3 linked regions of the Saccharomyces cerevisiae S288C genome follow. Changing the gene in region 2 together with the main gene of any one other region gives a genetic interaction. Each region holds a gene or a part of one and is shown on either strand. Other genes may lie near its edges. The genes, in order: YAR068W, PAU5 and YDL129W.

What was found.
Region 1: mutations in PAU5 (region 2) and YAR068W together harm fitness less than expected from each alone (positive genetic interaction), as found in Saccharomyces cerevisiae (one large-scale study listed by BioGRID).
Region 3: mutations in PAU5 (region 2) and YDL129W together harm fitness more than expected from each alone (negative genetic interaction), as found in Saccharomyces cerevisiae (one large-scale study listed by BioGRID).

The regions. Positions count from the first base shown.
Region 1 is NC_001133.9:218,604-225,325, forward strand, and holds YAR068W (uncharacterized protein), read left to right. Parts: upstream 1-3,802; coding exon 3,803-4,288; downstream 4,289-6,722. Other genes in the region: YAR064W (uncharacterized protein), read left to right, coding at 1,595-1,894; YAR066W (uncharacterized protein), read left to right, coding at 2,446-3,057.
Region 2 is NC_001138.5:96,940-103,545, forward strand, and holds PAU5 (seripauperin PAU5), read right to left. Parts: upstream 2,661-6,606; coding exon 2,292-2,660; downstream 1-2,291. Other genes in the region: GAT1 (Gat1p), read left to right, coding at 1-559; YFL019C (uncharacterized protein), read right to left, coding at 3,313-3,666; LPD1 (dihydrolipoyl dehydrogenase), read right to left, coding at 4,689-6,188.
Region 3 is NC_001136.10:227,335-234,735, reverse strand, and holds YDL129W (uncharacterized protein), read right to left. Parts: upstream 3,713-7,401; coding exon 2,837-3,712; downstream 1-2,836. Other genes in the region: VCX1 (Vcx1p), read right to left, coding at 849-2,084; ribosomal protein P1 RPP1B, read right to left, coding at 4,209-4,415, 4,717-4,830; STF1 (ATPase-binding protein), read right to left, coding at 5,305-5,565; homocitrate synthase LYS21, read right to left, coding at 6,021-7,343.

The sequences.
Region 1 (6,722 bases), on a different chromosome or scaffold from region 2:
AGGTCGATGACTCTGCAATTCTATCAGTCGGTGGTAACGTTGCGTTCGAATGTTGTGCACAAGAACAACCTCCAATTACATCGACGGATTTTACAATCAATGGTATTAAGCCATGGCAAGGAAGTTTGCCTGATAACATCGGAGGGACTGTCTACATGTATGCAGGCTACTATTATCCGCTGAAGGTTGTTTACTCCAATGCCGTTTCCTGGGGCACGCTTCCAATTAGCGTGGAATTGCCTGATGGTACTACTGTTAGTGATGACTTTGAAGGGTACGTTTACTCTTTTGACGATGATTTAAGTCAGTCAAATTGTACTATCCCTGATCCTTCAAAACATACTACTAGCATCGTCACAACTACTACCGAACTGTGGACTGGTACTTTTACTTCTACATCTACTGAAATGACCACCGTCACCGGTACTAATGGTCAACCAACTGACGAAACCGTTATTGTTGCCAAAGCTCCAACCACTGCCACCTCATCCAGTTTGTCATCATCTTCTTCAGAACAAATCACCAGCTCTATCACGTCTTAGCATCCAATTATTACTCCATTCTATCGCAGCAATGGAACTTCTGTAGTTTCTTCCTCAGTCATGTCTTCCTCGGTCATTTCTTCTTCTGCAACGACCTCCACTTCTATATTCTCTGAATCATCTAAATCATCCGTCATTCAAACCAGTAGTTCCACCTCTGGTTCTTCTGAGAGCGAAACAATCTTAGTGATTGCTGGCATGTCATTAGCGACAAGACGCTTATTACCGTAGTAGCCCCCCAAGGCAAACATCTCTTTATCAGTAATATCCAAAGCTGTTCAACTTCTCGAATTGGCCCAGGAAAAGAGCATTGGGGCGGCAACTAACTCTGGCATACTTACAGTTTCTGCTCTTGACAGCGCTAAAAAAGGGCTTGTTTTGTAATGCCCGGTTCGCAATTCTACAAGTACCACGCACTAGCTGCTAAAAGTGTCTAACCTTGCGAACAAATCTGGACTTTCTTATGAGAATCCCATCGTCAAGAAACAAAATTATACAGACAGGCGTAAATGTAGCTCGTAAGCGCCTGATCAAGTAAGCCAAATGCGCTAACTTGAGGAAATATAGCCATCTAAATCTCTGCAACATGCCAATTCGCACGTGACTTGAAACTATGGAAAGTGTCTAGAAGATTACCAAGAACCACGTTATTTGAGAGAGGATGGCAAGGTGACGACAATCACACCAAGACCACATTTTGGGTGCGCCTGGAAGCAAGACCTGAGAAACTGGGCCAAAATATTCAAACCAAGCATAAGATAGTTGGAGGTAGGAATACACTATCTAATCTGTGCTGATGAAATGCTGGCGAAAACGGGCGATGTAGTGGTACAGAAGGTGCCGGTTATCCGTTTGTCCGTTTTTCTTCATTTTTTTTTTGTTTTTCCCTTTTGTCTTTTGCACCGCTTATATATGGGTATGAAACAAGTTCAAGAATTTATAATGGAACCCAAAGGTTCAGTCTTTGTAGTTCGAGCGACATTGCGCGTTTCCTTAGAAAACGCTGGAAAGATATTCTTTAACGAGACGGAGTAATTCTCGTCAGGAATAGGATGTTGATTGATTTTTGCTGTAGTTATATAGCAGGGACCCACGGAAGAGAGCGAGCGCCTTCTTTCACAGGGACTTTTGTCAGCCACGTCTCCGGGGAAAACAATTGCCGTCCGCGTCGCAGTGAGATTACGCAGCCGTGCGCTTCAGGGACAGAAAAGAAGCATTTCGCGGCTACGGAGAAACCGTGCACTAACTCTCTCGAGGGTAGCCGCAAAGATTTCTTGTCTCTTCCATTAGGACATAGCTATCTTTTTCTTTTCTGTTTTTGGCGTATGATCTGTTCTGAGCCAAAGTTATAGATCATTGCTTGAATAAGCACCTCACAGAGTAGGGATTGTATAGAAAGTAGCTGAGCGTCTGCCCACGTAACAAACAATCTTGCCCCTTCCCCGCTCTTGTTTTCGCGTGCCTCTTCTACAATAATCTGGCCAGGCTGAATCGCGTTCTGCTGCTGCTGCTGCTATTGTTATTGTTGTTGTTGTTGTTTTGGCCAATTGCTTATGTGTTGGTCTGCAAATTAGCACCTCGTTCCCTGTTGGCAAACGCGCGCGTACAAGCCTTACAGGGCTTGAGAATGTTCTTCGTAGAAATGCATGCACAAAAATTCTGATCTAGCACACCATCGGTCTCTGTAGCTTCGGGCTCTATAGCTATGGGTTAGGAGTCCGTGAGTAGTAACAAGAAGAAGTATATAAAAAGCAGGTAAATCGTACTTCAATATGCTTCATTGTCACTGGATCGTCATATTCACTCTTGTTCTCATAATAGCAGTCCAAGTTTTCATCTTTGCAAGCTTTACTATTTCTTTCTTTTTATTGGTAAACTCTCGCCCATTACAAAAAAAAAAGAGATGTTCAATCGTTTTAACAAATTCCAAGCTGCTGTCGCTTTGGCCCTACTCTCTCGCGGCGCTCTCGGTGACTCTTACACCAATAGCACCTCCTCCGCAGACTTGAGTTCTATCACTTCCGTCTCGTCAGCTAGTGCAAGTGCCACCGCTTCCGACTCACTTTCTTCCAGTGACGGTACCGTTTATTTGCCATCCACAACAATTAGCGGTGATCTCACAGTTACTGGTAAAGTAATTGCAACCGAGGCCGTGGAAGTCGCTGCCGGTGGTAAGTTGACTTTACTTGACGGTGAAAAATACGTCTTCTCATCTGATCTAAAAGTTCACGGTGATTTGGTTGTCGAAAAGTCTGAAGCAAGCTACGAAGGTACCGCGTTCGACGTTTCTGGTGAGACTTTTGAAGTTTCCGGTAACTTCAGTGCTGAAGAAACTGGCGCTGTCTCCGCATCTATCTATTCATTCACACCTAGCTCGTTCAAGAGCAGCGGTGACATTTCTTTGAGTTTGTCAAAGGCCAAGAAGGGTGAAGTCACCTTTTCTCCATACTCTAACGCTGGTACCTTTTCTTTGTCAAATGCTATTCTCAACGGTGGTTCTGTTTCCGGTTTGTAACGTAGAGACGACGATGAAGGCTCTGTAAATAACGGTGAAATCAACCTAGACAATGGAAGTACCTATGTTATCGTTGAACCAGTTTCTGGAAACGGTACAATCAACATCGTCTCTGGTAACCTATACTTGCACTACCCTGACACCTTTACTGGCCAAACTGTTGTATTCAAGGGTGAAGGTGTTCTTGCCGTTGACCCAACCGAAACCAACGCCACTCCTATTCCTGTTGTTGGCTACACCGGTAAGAACCAAATTGCCATTACCGCCGACATCACTGCTCTTTCTTACGACGGTACTACTGGTGTCTTAACTGCAACCCAAGGTAACAGACAATTCTCTTTTGAAATTGGTACTGGATTCTCTAGTTCTGGCTTCAGTGTCTCCGAAGGAATCTTCGCAGGCGCCTACTCATATTACCTAAACTATGACGGTGTCATCGCTACAAGCGCCGCATCCACATCCGCATCCACTACCTCTGGTGTTGTCTCTACTGCCACTGGTTCAGTCACTTTATCCTCTAACGCTTCTACCACCGTCTCTTCTACGATCTCTTCTAGCGCCCCAGACTCAATAATTCCTTCATCTAGCGCCTCTATCTCTGGTGTCTCAAACTCCACTACAGCATCTGGTTCAATCGCTTCTACTGCTTCCACCGCTTCCACTACTTCTACTGCATCCGCTGCATCCGCCACCAGCTTCACCTCAGGTTCCGCTTCTGTCTACACTACTACATTAACTTACTTGAATGCCACAAGTACAGTCGTGGTTTCCTGTTCAGAAACAACCGACGCTAGCGGTAACATTTACACCATTACCACAACTGTCCCATGCTCATCTACCACTGCCACCATCACATCTTGTGACGAAAACGGATGCCATGTTCCAGCACCAACTGCTACCGACGCAACTGCAACCGTTTCCTCCAAGTCATACACCACTGTTACTGTTACTCACTGTGACAACAATGGCTGTAACACCAAGACTGTCACTTCTGAATGTTCTAAAGAAACTGCAGCAACCACCATTTCTCCAAAATCATACACTACTGTTACCGTTACTCACTGTGACGACAACGGCTGTAACACCAAGACTGTCACTTCCGAGGCTTCCAAACAAACATCATTGGCCACTAGCACAGTCACCAAGTCTGCTGCTCCAACTTCTCATACTGCTGCTTCCAGCACCTTCACTGGTATTGTCGTTCAATCCGAAGGTATGGCTGCTGGTTTGAGAACCAATGCTTTAAGTACTTTGGCAGGTATTTTCATCCTTGCTTTTTTTTAAAATGAGTGCGTAACCGTACTTTCCTAAAAATAACTAAGTAGAAAGTATTTTAATATATAAACGTCAGTGTAAACATTCAAGTGATTTTAACTTTACGCGGTTGAAGAATGCTGTGTTCGAACTATAAAGCGTCAGAAAAGATGGTTTAGCGAAGGCACCATTATGAAGATAGACACATTCTTCTTTTTTTTTTTTTTTTTTTTTTTTTTTTTTTTTTTTCATTTACTTTTATTTCGCGCGGTCGGTAAATTTTTCGTGGGTTTCTTTGAATCTATTAGCCGACATAAGAATAATGCATAAATAATATTTTTAATGTCTTCCTATGCCCAAAAGAAGAAGTCTTGAAGTTGCCGCACATGGAAATCACATGACCATGGCTTGGCCCTTCGTTTTAAATGCAACATGCAATATGGAATGTGTCATGAATACTATCAGCAGGAACAGAAAGCGTCGTTTTGTTTCTGCAAATGCTGTAGTTTTGGGCCGAAAATAGATGTAGTAGAATATATAGTGAAACGTGATGTACAAAAGAAAAAGGTAGTTTAAAAAAAATTAGATAACTTGGATTTTTACCCTGAATATTGCATGTGATTCGTAAAGAACTGAGTTACCTCAAACGGACCTCCCTTTTCATTTCGTATTCCGCGAATCATGAAGTCATGCAATTACCTCTGAAGAGCTGACTGTCCCAAAAGAAGCTATCGAATCTGTCCTTGATTTATTTAAGCCTTGCGTTTCGAGAAAGTGAAAACCAATTGAATACAAAATAAAAAAAAAGAAGAAAGAAATAGCAGGTCTAAGATATATAAGAAAGTTAATATCATTTTTGAACATTTTATTTTAGACGCCTTCAGCCGCGCGACGCCCGGAGTAATCATATGCCCATGACTTTACCAAAAGGCAACAGGGAGGAACATGCATTAATGTGAAGCATCACTGCTGCAATTCTCGGTGTTGCTAATAATTCATGGATCGAGAAAGAGACATAACATTTAGGCCAATTTTTTGAATAAATATGAACTCAGCTAAGACTCGACAATACAATTTTCTTATACTAAACGTAGATTTATAAAATAAACACAACTGTAAGGGCAATGCAACCGTAGATGCATATATCATTTATAGAAATTATATCCAACAGAAAGCTCAGACTTATATCCGGTTTAAGAGAGAAATTCTTGCTCATATTACCCCAAGACCAGGTGGCGTGTTGAAGTTTATAACATATAAGAACTACTACCTCATGAATTCTAGTGGATGAAAGAAGCAGCACGAACACCATTTCTACAGACAACGACACATGGAAAGGTTCACCATTCCCAAAGAAAACAACGATGGCCACAAGGGTGTGGTCCTCCATTCTCCTACTGTTGGAAGGAGATATTATCCGACCGACTGTTTTGTGATATGGCAAACTATTTTTTTAAATGAGCAAAATTACTTCTTTTGGCTGGAAATGTCATTAGAAAGTGCCCAAGTGACATTTAGCTAAACTCGGGTATTGTCTACAAGACCGGTGCTGTGACCGTTTCCAATACGGAAAGAAACGGTACTGGGAGCAGGAGTTGCTTTTACAGATATGAACAATGCCAATAGAGCCGCACATGTAATTACTGGTTCACACTCGTGGGGCCCACACGATTCCTGTGCAAAGTTTGACAAGAGGATGGAGTTTCACGTAAATGCTGCCAAAGGTGATGCGGTTTTGTTTTTGGGCAGCCTCTACCATGTTGCAAGTGCGAACCATACTGTGGCCACATAGATTACAAAAAAAGTCCAGGATATCTTGCAAACCTAGCTTGTTTTGTAAACGACATTGAAAAAAGCGTATTAAGGTGAAACAATCAAGATTATCTATGCCGATGAAAAATGAAAGGTATGATTTCTGCCACAAATATATAGTAGTTATTTTATACATCAAGATGAGAAAATAAAGGGATTTTTTCGTTCTTTTATCATTTTCTCTTTCTCACTTCCGACTACTTCTTATATCTACTTTCATCGTTTCATTCATCGTGGGTGTCTAATAAAGTTTTAATGACAGAGATAACCTTGATAAGCTTTTTCTTATACGCTGTGTCACGTATTTATTAAATTACCACGTTTTCGCATAACATTCTGTAGTTCATGTGTACTAAAAAAAAAAAAAAAAAAGAAATAGGAAGGAAAGAGTAAAAAGTTAATAGAAAACAGAACACATCCCTAAACGAAGCCGCACAATCTTGGCGTTCACACGTGGGTTTAAAAAGGCAAATTACACAGAATTTCAGACCCTGTTTACCGGAGAGATTCCATATTCCGCACGTCACATTGCCAAATTGGTCATCTCACCAGATATGTTATACCCGTTTTGGAATGAGCATAAACAGCGTCGAATTGCC
Region 2 (6,606 bases):
CAAGGGTCTTCCCCTGTGCAATGCTTGCGGCCTCTTCCTCAAGCTCCACGGCGTCACAAGGCCTCTGTCGTTGAAGACTGACATCATTAAGAAGAGACAGAGGTCGTCTACCAAGATAAACAACAATATAACGCCCCCTCCATCGTCGTCTCTCAATCCGGGAGCAGCAGGGAAAAAGAAAAACTATACAGCAAGTGTGGCAGCGTCCAAGAGGAAGAACTCACTGAACATTGTCGCACCTTTGAAGTCTCAGGACATACCCATTCCGAAGATTGCCTCACCTTCCATCCCACAATACCTCCGCTCTAACACTCGCCACCACCTTTCGAGTTCCGTACCCATCGAGGCGGAAACGTTCTCCAGCTTTCGGCCTGATATGAATATGACTATGAACATGAACCTTCACAACGCCTCAACCTCCTCCTTCAACAATGAAGCCTTCTGGAAGCCTTTGGACTCCGCAATAGATCATCATTCTGGAGACACAAATCCAAACTCAAACATGAACACCACTCCAAATGGCAATCTGAGCCTGGATTGGTTGAATCTGAATTTATAGATCCCCCAAAAAAAAAAAAGTACTCGCTTCTTTCCATGTCCGCTTCATATATATATACACATACTAATCAAACTCTATGTATACATAGAATAAAAAGAAGAACACTATATTTATTTCATAAAAAAAAAAAAAAAATAACAAAAAAAGTGCAACATTTATCAAAAGCTCAGTGTGCGTTATGCTTCCATGTGACCCAACATCTATTGCGGCGGTGACAGAATAGTTGAAAGGCGCAGGGCTCACACACAGGAATGGCCCTCCCAAATTTAAAAGAGAACTAAACCAGTTATCCTAGGCAATTACTTTATTTGAGTCTTATATGACGTCACTAGAAGCTCAGTAAGAGCAACCGAGACCTGAACATCCTTTTTTTTTTGCTTCTTTATTTGGCAGCATTTTTCAAAAATAATAAAATGGAAGCCGCGAGTACGAACAATGATGTGTTCTGGGAATACCTCGTCAAAACAAGACAATGGCAAGGATTTTCTTTCATCAGGCAGAAAGATCTGGATCTGAATGGCATCATTTTGTGATGTGTAAAAGCGGGACCTTGTTATTTCGACTTTTTGCATCATGTTGATGCAATTTGCTACTTTTCCGACGGTGCGCTCCAACGGATGGGTATTTCCTTAATAACAAGGCATTTCTCTGGAAGTTGGCTTACTGTTTGAAATCACAGCCGGTCACAAAATAAAGTAAAAAAACTATCTCTCTCCACAAGAAGTAATTACAGGTTGTATACTACATATGATCGTATTTCTTTATGAACACTAAGGAGTTTCCCGCTGTGTACCGCAATATCCACACAAAAGGAAGGAAGAAACTTCTGTGGCTTGACAGATAAATAACTGCAGTAGTCGGTGCGTACTAATTGTTTGGTCGTGTCTGAAAAATCTTGAATTTTCAGAAAAGAATAAGCCCCAAATGTCAGTGATGGTAGTAGCAGTACTCCCCTACGATTTTAGATACTTTAGAGAGCCCACCTTCAGAATCGGAAGGAGGATAATTTTGTAAAGCCCTTCTGTTTTTTCTCTTGCATAACTTATATTTCCACATCAAAAAGTAGTGTGCTAAGAAAAAGGAGACGAGAAAAAGGATTACGGCACTCTCTGCATCTAGACATATACCAAAAGTTGGGTTTGCTCACGAAAATACCATAATTGTGGTGTCAAAAAAATCCTGCCTCATAATACCACTGCAGCAATTGTGGATGACTAAAAAATAACTTGCATTCCACGATGTTATTTTACTTTATAAAGCACCTGCAATTTTTTTTTTTGTATTAACTCATCGAGTATGTCTGATGTGTAAACTGAACCAGGCTTAATATCGTTTCTAATTCTTGTTGTGAGAAAACTTTCCTGCCTAGTGTATTTCGTCAGGGCGAACCTTCGGATAGGCACCGAACTCCGAGATTCTTGCTCCAATTTAAGAAATAAGCTTTTTCCGTCCCAATACAATAGAACATTATTAAAGTTAATAATAAAAATGGCACGGCACCAGTTGGAAGTTAAATCCCAACATTTGCTGCAAGAATAGAAAAGAAGTCATAACAAATTTGCATATTACTTACGGCTTCAAAAAAGCACCGAAACTAATCGAGAAAGCTTATAATATCGGTATACATTTGAATGTATTTTAACTATTTCTATATCAAAAAAAAAAAAAAAAATTGTATATTTTTCGTTATTCTCTAATTCGTATCACATTTTATCCCTAAGGGAATCTATCTCTAATTTGCAATAGTGTAGATACCGTCTGCGGATAGAGCGCTAGAGATAGCTGGCTTTAATCTGCTAGAGTACCATGGAACACCAGTGATAACTCTGGTAACTTGGTCGGCGGGAATACCAGTCAACATGGTGGTGAAATCACCGTAGTTGAAAACAGCTTCTGCAATTTCAACTGGATAAGTTTCAGTTGGGTGGGCAGCTTGGAAGGAGTAGTATTCAGCCAAATGAGCTCTGATATCGGAAACATAGACACCTAATTCAACCAAATTAACTCTTTCGTCAGATTGAGATAGTGTAGTGGTTGCTGCAGCGGAGGCACCAGCGGCAATGGCGGCGACACCAGCGGCGATTGAAGTTAATTTGACCATTGTATTTGTTGTTTTTTGGGTTGTTGCTTAGTGGAGATATAAGCTTAACTGGAAGGAAAAGAACAGAGAAATGTCTCAAACAAAGCTGATCAAACCGCTGTATTTATATAAATTTTTTGAGCAATTACATCCCAAACAGGCTATTACTGGTCACTCATTTTGCACTCATATCTCACATATTCTAATTCCTGGCCACTTAGCCATTATTACTATGGGGGTGTATTTTCCTTGAACGATGCTGCACTTCGTATAAGAAACACGCTTCATATTCCCCATATCTTCGTATGTTTAGAGCGCAAGAATGTTCCTTACAGTAAAGGTGCCTTTCGACCTGCAGACACAATGTTAGCCAAGTAATAGAAGCAAAGCCAATATTGTCTTGGCCTCGTTCAATTGCCTAACCCTTGGCACTAAACGGTTGCTAGGAGAAAAAACACGGACCTTTTCCCAAATTAGAAACACTAAAAAATGTTAATATGGTACTAGTCGTCGTACCCTGCTGAAATCATAAAAACCTTACGCCATCTGTGGGACTCGTCATAGGGTTTAGTGTATATTGAATGTTGGAAAATCTCTCGTTCTGATATGCCCAACAAACCAACAATGTACAATGTGAGGTTTCTACAAATCAACAACTATGGTTTCCCCTAATTCACTTGGATTGATTGGTTCTAGTGAAAACTTTACCTGTTACAAAGTTTTGAATCATTTTAATTAGATATCGTGTACCGAACAGTATCTGATTCGTATAAAAAAAGGAATATTGAAGGTCAGTTATCCTAGTGACAGGTGAAAAAAAATTGATATGTATGCCCTTTGTATTATCTTTGGGGTGGAAAGAAGTGAAAACAGAAGCAAATTGGTTTTGCAGTAAGTTTAGTCTTTTGACCTGTAACTGGTTAATTTCGAAATGACTGGTGGAGCCTGACTCGAATATAGAGCAAAGGGAGTCTTTAGTAGTATATCTTCTTACTTCGATGATATTTGAATAAAGTTCAACTATCATCTACCGATTAGTATTCATATTACTACTATATTATAATATGGGTGTGAGAATATGGCGTAACGTTTGAGAGATAGTCTCAGGTGTAGTGGAAGCTGAAATTCAGGGGAATGATGTTGTAATGGAATAATTAATGACAGGATATGAGATGGAAGGAAATTTAATTATATTATTACATAGAAATATCGATTTCCTTTTGTGAATTTCTATATCCTCGAGGAAACTTTCTGGTATACTTTGTATACTAAATTTTATAGCCTTTGACAACAACGAAATCCCAAAAAGTATTTCATAATTCATGTACTTACGAGAAGAAAAATCATTGCCCTGCTAGTGCTTCAAAAAATATAATTGGGAGCAACTAAAATCTCCTTGCAATGAGTTACAAGGAACAGATTCTTACCGGTAGTCCTGGTGAGCAAAAGACTTAACCATGTGGCAGCCGTTGTCTAATATCCACTAGCTATACACTTACATGGAATATTGGTTGCTGAAATAATTAGACTTAATGGTAGCAAACGTAGTGGTCATCCATATGAATATATGAGCAAGAAATAAACGTGAACATGTAAAATAGTAATACAGACACCATAATGTACAGGTTAATCCTGATATGTTTCTCGAATGAAATCGGGAAGACTAATAGGAGGCTCAATTCTATATTCACTCACGTTATGCGCCTGAATTTGAATGGATATTGTTGATAGAAGATTCCCTTTAATCACTCTCCTATATAAATATTTCTGTTTTTCTTATTAACGCAACAATAATTCGGGCGTGTGGTCTAGTGGTATGATTCTCGCTTTGGGCGACTTCCTGAATAAACAGGAAGACAAAGCATGCGAGAGGCCCTGGGTTCAATTCCCAGCTCGCCCCCTTTTTTTTGCATATCTGGTCATAATATCTTATCTGATCGACTAGTAGTTTCCTCATATATTAATTCCTTGTGCAATTTTTTTTTACTTACTCAATACTAAGCGGTTCTTCATAAATATATATACTATACTGTTTATTATTTCCTGTTTTCAACAATGAATAGCTTTATCATAGGCAGCCATGTTAGCTTCCTTAAATGCTTCGGACAAAGTAGGATGAGCATGGCAGACCCTAGCAACATCTTCTGCGGAAGCGCCATATTCTAAGGCTAAGCCAGCTTCAGCAATCATTTCACCGGCATTTGGACCGATAATGTGAGCCCCCAAAATACGCTCGGTCTTGGAATCGATCAAAATCTTCACGAAACCTTCAGTGTCTTGGTTGGTCTTGGCTCTTGAATTGGCCGCAAAGGGGAACTTACCAATTTTATAGTCAATGCCGGCTTCTTTCAATTGCTCTTCGGTTTTACCAACCCATGCTACTTCTGGGTGAGAATACATGACCGAAGGAATGTTGTTATAGTTGACATGACCGTGACCAGTTTTCAACATTTCGACAGCTGCAATACCTTCCTCTTCGGCTTTGTGAGCCAGCATTGGACCAAATGTAACATCTCCTACCACTTTAATGTGTGGGAACTTGGAATTAAATTGGTCATCAATGACTAGGCGTCCCCTTTTGTCTACTTCTAATCCAATCTTTTCAGCCCCTAAGCCAGCAATGTAAGGTCTTCTACCAACAGCAACCAGCAAAACTTCAGCTTCCAAATTTTCTTGCTTATTCGTTTTAGTATCTTCTACAACAATTTCGACGACGTTCTTGTCGTCGTTTCTCTTTGCAGAAATAACTTTGGTGCTTAATTTGAAGTCCAAACCTTGCTTTTTCAAGAACTTTTGGGTGGCTTTGGCAACCTCGCCGTCCATAGATGCACCAATTTGAGGTTGAAATTCTACTACAGTAACCTTGGAGCCTAATCTAGAGTAAACTGAACCCATTTCCAATCCGATGATTCCTCCACCAATGATGGTTAATCTTTTGGGAATTTCCTTTAACGAAAGAGCACCTGTTGAAGAGACAATTTTTTCCTCATCTATTTCAATACCGGGGAAGGGTGTAACTTCAGAGCCCGTGGCGACTATGATGTTCTTAACATCTAGTATGTGGTCTTCCTTGACAGTGCCTTCCAACCCATCAACGGGAGTTACTCTGATCTTCGTTTCGTCTTCGAATGAACCATTACCTTTATAATAGGTGACCTTATTTTTCTTGAACAGAAGCTCAATACCTCCAGTTAATTGCTTAACAGCGTCATCCTTAGCCTTTTGGAAGTTTGCTACGTTAATTTTGATATCACCGTTGACGTCAATACCTCTCTTTTGCGCTTCCGTATGCATTTGGTGGAATAAATGAGAATTATTTAGAAGTGCTTTGGAGGGGATACATCCAACGTTAAGACAGGTACCGCCTAATTTGCCTCTTTTTTCTACACATGCAGTGTTAAATCCCAATTGAGCAGCTTTGATAGCAGCCACGTAACCAGCAGGGCCACCACCGATGATGACTACATCATGTGACTTGTTAATGGTCAATGTCCTGACTGTGGACGAAAAGGCACGCTTATTATTTAGGAGTGATCTGATTCTTAACATTGTGAACTGTTAGTATGTTCTTTGATGGTACGACAGAGACAATCGAACAAAACCGTATATATATAAATATACGTTATATGTATATATATATCTATATATATTCGAGGTGAGTCAAAGGGTACGAATTATCATCAAATTGTTTATTAGCATTATAATACACTAAGTTTCCATTAAGTTGCTCCGCGGAGACTTCTCGCCAATGAGGGAACAGCCGTTCGAGATGATAAAGTATTCTAAAAACGAGTCATCATTAAAAACGATTCACGTGATATTCACGTGCATAAACCATTAGTAAGTATATATTTTTAGTGGGATATATGAGGGTACATTGCATCATGACTATTCGTGGTAGTCACGCATACGTTTGTCAGTGGCATTGTTCGAGTATTCCTCTGTTCTTCATTTCCCTTTTTTCCTA
Region 3 (7,401 bases), on a different chromosome or scaffold from region 2:
TTGAGGAAGGTCTCACACGTCTCCGAAGTTACAGCTACCACTTAGCGTGTCTGCGGGAACAATAGATCTCTTCCCAATTTGCACTAAATAGGTAACTAGCCAGGCCTATAAAAATCTTCGAGCGGAGAATTGACCGTAGTATCTGCCAAAAAAATCCACCTGCACCAGCATTTTTCGTGTTACGCGAAGTCTACTTTTCGCGTCATCAAAAGACGCTATAAAAATATAGCTGGGCTAATTTTATTCTATAGCTGGCCATTTTTTTATGCGATATCTGCTGGTTTTTTACAGCTGGAATGCCGTGACAGATGTAACAAGAATGTGTTTCAGCTGGCATTCTCACTCAGAAATGTAAGGCTAAAATCCGCTAAAATAGGGCTTCGCGTCTCATGATCTATTCACATTTGTTTCTAATAAACTATACTACAAAACGAAATTCTGTTGTGCAATGATGTAGGAAGCTCCATGAATTTGAGCAAAATTCCTAAATATTCTCGTTGTAATGAATAACGTTACCCTGAACAGTGCAGCAAAGCAGCTGATGTGCTGCAAGAAGAACACGAGCTGTAGTTGAGAAGCTTCGAAATATTAAACCTTTTATCAGAATGGAAATGGTGCAGAATTTGAGTTTCGAAGAGTGTACAAAATATTTTGTTGGTTTTGAAAACTTTTTTTCAGATAAAATTCGATATAAAAATTAGTTGCGTAAACATAATATGTATAATATAACGATCATAATAATGACTTGCTAGTCATAATCATCTTTGTATTGGTCCATCGATAGAATTACGAAGAAGATAAAATATAAAAAAAAAGAGAATGGTGAATTTCTGCGCTACTGTTCTTACTCATAAACTATTTCCAATAGAGTCAAGGGTTTTTTCGTCTGGATAATAGAAAAATGCCATTGCAATCAAAATATACATAGCTAGAGACATGACACCCTCCAACCAGTTTGACTCACCATCGAGAATTAAGTAATTGGATAAGAAAACAGCAATAAAAAGAGTAGCGGTTTCAAAAGTGGAGAAATTTAGCGTCATTGGAACATCGATCATCCAGCCCACAAGAACCATGAATGGTGTAACAAATAAGGCAACTTGTAAAGAGGAACCGATGGCAACACCTAGCGCCAGATCCATCTTATCCTTCATGGCCACCAAGACTGAAGTGACATGCTCTGCGGCATTACCCACAATAGGAATGACAATCAAACCTATAAATGTTTTAGATAGCCCGGTAGATTCAACAACGTTGTCTATCGTACCGACTAGAAAATCCGCACAAAAAGAGATGATCACAGTTGTACCTAGAAGTATCACCAATGATGACTTGACACTCAAAGAGTGATGTGGATTCCTGGAAATGGTGCTCATAACTTCATCGGTCTCTTCTTCTTGTTGCTCAAACAAGGCGTGATGGCTCCCTAGCTGGAAATATAAGAACAAAACGTAAACGATGAGAATAACAATAGAGGTGCCTCTGGATAACTCCAATATTTTTCCATCGATGAAGTGGTCTTCCTTGCCATGAGGTAGGGTGGCTCTAAAGGCAGCGGGAATCAGTAGGGATGCACACGCAATGGCAAGTAATGAGGACATTGTTTGAGCGGCGGTTTGGTTGAATGTCTGTTGGACTCTATTGTATCCACCGAATATGAAGCATAATCCAAGCACTAACAGCAAATTAGAAAGAAGACTACCTAGCATCGAGGCCTGCACAATTCTCACTTGACCTTTTTTCAGGGCAATGATAGAAACAATTAGTTCCACAGCGTTACCAAAAGTAGCATTTAGCAGTCCCCCAATGGTGTTACCAGCCTTATCAGCCAACTCTTCCGTGGCATTAGCCAAGATAGCTGCCAACGGTATAATTGCCAAGAAATTAAAAAGAAATGTCAGTGTATGAGATAGTTGGAAGTGTCCCCAAATCAGACCTAAAGGAACAAATACCAATAGGAAATTCAGGGGTGACGCTTTCAAAATATACTGTAAATCATACACAGCTGCTCTCCATGCAGTGTGCTTTGGATTGCGGGCGGGATGACTGTTCGCAACAGTTAATAGTGGGGTAGTTGCATCCATTGTATCTATGTTGTTTTATTTGCTATCAGCAGCCGATGAATGATATGCGTCGAAGTCAACTATATATTTAGGACTGCTTTTTAAGTTTAGGAAAGAGGAAACTTCTTTTACTCTCTGAGGAGATAAAATAATGCTGGGCGATAGTAATTTCCATATTCTCGTGAGGGAAATTTTTATTTTTCGGGAATTTTGATCAAGCCGTCCAGTCCAGTTTACGAAAAAGGAACTACGTCAATTAGTTTACAAAACATTCCCGATTACGTATGTCATATTCATCGAAGTTCGTAAGTGAGGATGACAAGGGATTAACGTCGTAAGGAAAACAATCTAATTGAAAAAAAAAAACTATTAGATAAGTATATATAACATTAAATTAGAACTTAAATACTACAATATTGTTCTCTTGGCAAAAAACAAGAAGGAAAATAATTGTCCCTCTCCAAACTGATAGCTTCCATTGAGTTCAATAGGAGAAAAAAAAATCCAATTTTTTCACACTTTCGGAAAATTTCCCTTTTAAGTTGTACTAAAATTACAGACAGTTGGAGGCATTAGATTAAAGGTGTATGATAGAGGTTAAAAGTAAACATAAATTCGTAACTGAAGAATTGAAGGAGATATTTCTCTTTGGAGAATTTTAAAAGAGTAAACCAGAAATAAAGAGAATAGAATATTATTAGAGAATAAATGATGTGTTTGGTCCCATGAGAAAGAAAAATTATTGACGTTCAATAATATTTTTTTCTAGCATACTATTTTTTTCGTGATTTAGGTTCTTTTTTCTCCAAATGAAAAACTCTCACATATTCGTTTGTTGCTGGATTGTCACTCCTTCTTCTCATCCTTGGATGCGGTTTATTGTTCTCTACTAATTCCAATGTGTCAATTTTGGTATCTTCCTCAACTTTATCAGTACCCGTTGGGACTTTTTGGGGAGAAAGATTCAAAGACGGCCGGGAAGCAGGAAGAGGAAGTTTTGGAACTTTGGTTTTCCATGAGTTCGGCGATACACCTCCATATCCTCCTTCTAGCCTAGCGCCAGTGGATAATGGTCTTTGCGCTAGTCCTGGCAATGACAGTTTACGCTTTAAAGGTCGTTCAAGAAGTGGTCTCAACTCTGCGGAACTTGCACTTTCGTTGGTTTTTGGGGTCTTGTTTTTTAAAAATTCTACCTCTTTTTTCAACAAGTTTGTCTCAACTGCATACCTTCCCTCTGAGGTGGCCCTTAACTCCGATAGCTGGGCCTGTAACTTCCAGTGAGATGTGGATGCTAAAGACCTGTTAAGCACACTTAATATGAGATCTTTCTCACTAACTAACGTTTCATCATCCCCTTCCTTTATCCTCTGTATGAGATTGAGAATTGTGTTTTCTAGTTCTCTGGTGTTTTTCAAAGATGGCATGAAGTGACTAGTAAAATTGTAGTATTCATTGTCATCAACTTTCTTCGATGAATCTGTAGTAGCGGTATCAGAGTAAGCGGGACTAAATACACTTGTGTTCTCGCTCTTTGCTTCCCTCGTGCCGACCCTCTCATTGGATTCTATGCTCCGTTCACTCTTATTCTTGGCAGGTTCCTCAGGCGTGACAAGATAGGCCTCTGCGCTCCGTCTACTTCTTAGCTCCATAGCCAACAAAATGTTAAATTCCTGTATGCCGTAGCCTTGCCCGCGTTTCGTATCAAAAGGGATGAGAAACTAAAGTGCTCAAATTTTATACGTTTCTAGTGCCTTATAGGTGTATTGCTAAGCCTGTAAGGACCGACGTATGTCCAACTTAGGGAGCTTTACATGTGTCAAAGAACCTTTCATTCCCGATGAGTAAAAATTTTAAAAATGTGCGCGGGAGAAGCTTCGGTCGGCGTCGCCATCAAAGGGCGAGCAACCATGGGTTTATGTAATTTTTGGTTGCTATGGTGACGACAGGTCTGATATCCCGCAACCAGGGGCTATCCCGCAGTGCCATTTCTAGCAAAGAACGAGATGGTTAAATTCTCGTAGCCCTTTCGTATGGACATTACTTCCGATTTTTAAATACTGATTGATTAGAGGTTTATTTTATATGTAAATATATATACATAAAGGGTAAAAAAACGTTGCAGAAAAAATGACTTTCCTTGTATGTTTAGTCGAATAAACCGAAACCCATGTCGTCGTCAGATTCTTCAGCAGCTTCTTCTTCTTTTTCTTCTTCAGCAGCAGCGTCACCACCAGCAGCGGCAGCGCCAGAAGCAGCACCAGCACCAGCAACAGGGCCAGCGTTATGGAAACCAGATAGGATTTCCTTCAAGTCCTTACCTTCCAAAGCCTTAGCGTAAACATCAGCCCAGACCTAATTCAATGATACATATAACAAGCTCCATAGGAAGAGTCGTTATTCGTTGAGTTTGTTAGTAAAATGAGATCCTTGAAGAAGTAATTCGATCCTGACTTGTGCTTTCCGTTAAATACGTTAATGGAGAAATATTTCTACATGTATTGCCCCCTAGTATCTCATCATGTTAGAGGGAAACGTTACATGGAATTTTTCTGTCCCCCATTATTCAAAATTGCGCATTTCTCGGGACGATTGTTGTCTAATCTTTCTCTTCGTAGTCACACAAAGTCGTTTTAGGTTGCATTTTTGTACATACGTTGTCGACATTAGCACCAGCGGCCTTGGTGATAGTCAATAAGTTGTCAGAGGTGATTTCCAAACCAGCATCAGCTAGGATGAAAGCAGCAAAGGAAATAATAGAGTCAGACATTTTCTTCTTAGTTGTTTGATTTCTTTGTTAGTCCAAGATTAACTGAAACTGCAATTCGTAATTTAACCTTGAAATATCACGAAGGGGCTTACAGATTCAACATCAAATGCTTATTTGGTATTACATTGGAAACTAGTTTTAGCAACCGTTAGCCGGAAGTTTCAATTCTAAGATTTCTCCTTCGCGCGACACGCAGAAATGAAAATTTTATTTTTTTTTGCGTTTCATATAATCCTTCTGATGTACGGATGTTTTGTGTAAGATATGTATGGGTTTAAAGGAATATCTGAGGAGCAAACTGAGGCGACGTTTCTCTAACTGACGGTGTTCCTGTATTCGTGACGTATATACTATATATAATGTGCAGGCTTATAAAATACCACTGATGTTCATTTCCTAATTTTGATTTGGCATGATTGCTTCTTTCTACGTACAAAACGTGTCTGCAGAACCTTTAGCCTTAACAATGACCAATCACTTTGAAAGGTTATTAATTTTGTTTTCTAAATTCTCTAATTTTTTCTTGTGTTCTTTTAGTTGTTCCTTCACATGTGCTAATTGTTCCCTCTCTTGTTGTCTGGCATAATAATCCTCTTTGGCACGTTCTCTCTTGATAAAGATATCTTGAGGATTACCAGGTCCGGCACCACCGAGAGGACCATCTGAATAAAAGCGAGAGGCAATTCTTAGGTTTACTGGCAGCCTGGTATTACGGGAAATGCAACGGTTTAACATATTGATAGCGTGTTTGGTTGGATGACTGGGTGAAAGTGCTTCTTAATATCTACAATGGAGAGCTCAATTTTCTTATGAACGACTGAACTAAATATAATAAATAATTCCCCAGCCGCCCCCTAAAAGATAATAATGATGCTTGAAATAGTTAGCAAATAGAAACCGATCATTTGACGTATATAGTGATCATTATCATAACGGAAATACTCCGTGAGAGTATAATAGCGTGGGGAATCGCACAGAGTCAATATTCATTGATCTCAATTAATTGATTAAAATACCCCGTCTTCAAGCTAGATGCAACCGCCTCAATTGAACATCGGAGTAGGAGAAAAAGCTTATTGAATAAAGTTGACGTAAATAGTAATTTTATTACGGTAATCGCCAGTACTTAAACACCTAATAACGCCCAGTATGTGTATGTTTGAAATATGTGTACTATATATATAATGAAACTATTTGGTGACCTTTGCCTTTTTAGAAACATGCCCATTGGAAATATCGATATTGTCGTCATCTGTACCCTTATTTACTGGTTTTAAAAGTGGGGTGCTCAATTCTGCATGGAAGTCCTTGATAATGGAGTCTACATCATCAATATTTAGCGGTCTGACATCACCCAGCTTCTTAATCTTAGCAGTAACTTCCTTGATTTGATCATCCGTCAAATTCAAGTTCAATTGGTCGACTCTTGATTTGATTGCATTCCAACCAGTTAGTCTGTTGGCGAAGTGGATATATCTCTTCATACCGAAATCGTGAGGGTCCAAGATTTCGTAGGTAGATGGGTTAGCCAAAATGGCCTTGGCATGGATACCTGCTTTATGTGTGAATGCACAGAACCCGGTGATAGGGTTGTTGAATGGAATGTTAACTTCCACAGCATCAGCGACCAGGTTTTCGATGTCTCTGATCTTGTGCAGCTTGTATTTAGATCTGACATAGTCTGGTGCGGCAACAATCATTCTTGCCATGAGCCCACCTAGAGGAGTGATACCGTTTCTTTCACCAATACCCAGTACACTGACGTCAATCAATCTGGCACCACCTTCCAAAGCAGTGTAGGCGTTTGCAATGGCACAACCGGTATCATTGTGGAAATGGCATTCGATGTCACATGAGACAACACTCTTCAAAGTTCTGATCAGTTCATATACTTGTCTTGGGTTGGCACATCCAACTGTGTCGGCAATACCGACTCTATTTACACCGATCTTGTCAACGGTTTTATAAATGTTCAAAAGATCAACGAGATCACTTCTGAAGGAATCTTCAGAGGAAAATCTGATTTCAATACCTTTGGATTTGACAAATTCAATGACTTCAACAGCACTCTTGGCGATGTAGTTCATATCCTTACCGTGGGAATATTGTCTTAAAAATTTGGAGGTGCCGATAACAACATCGACACCGTCGACACCAGTCTCTACGGCGACTCTGGCATCGTCCATGTGACAACGAATGTGTGTAAGGATCTTGGCCTTTAAACCTAGTTTACATATAGCTTCACAGTCCTTTCTTGATTGTTCGGATGCTACGGGAGAGGTTAACTCGATGTAGTCCACACCGAAATCATCCAAGGCTCTAGCAATTTCAATCTTTTTTTCAGTATCGAAGAATGCGTTGGCAAATTGTTCACCCTCTCTTAGTGTTGAATCAATCAACTGGAAATTCTTAACATTGGATAGATAATCCGCAGGATTTGGGCCATATGGGTTACTAGTGGTTGGAGCAGTCGTCGATTCGGTGACACTCTGGAATTCGTTATTTTCAGACATGGTTTGTTAAAGTATACAATTACTTGGGTTGTCGTTGCACTTTTAAATGTGTAGCAAA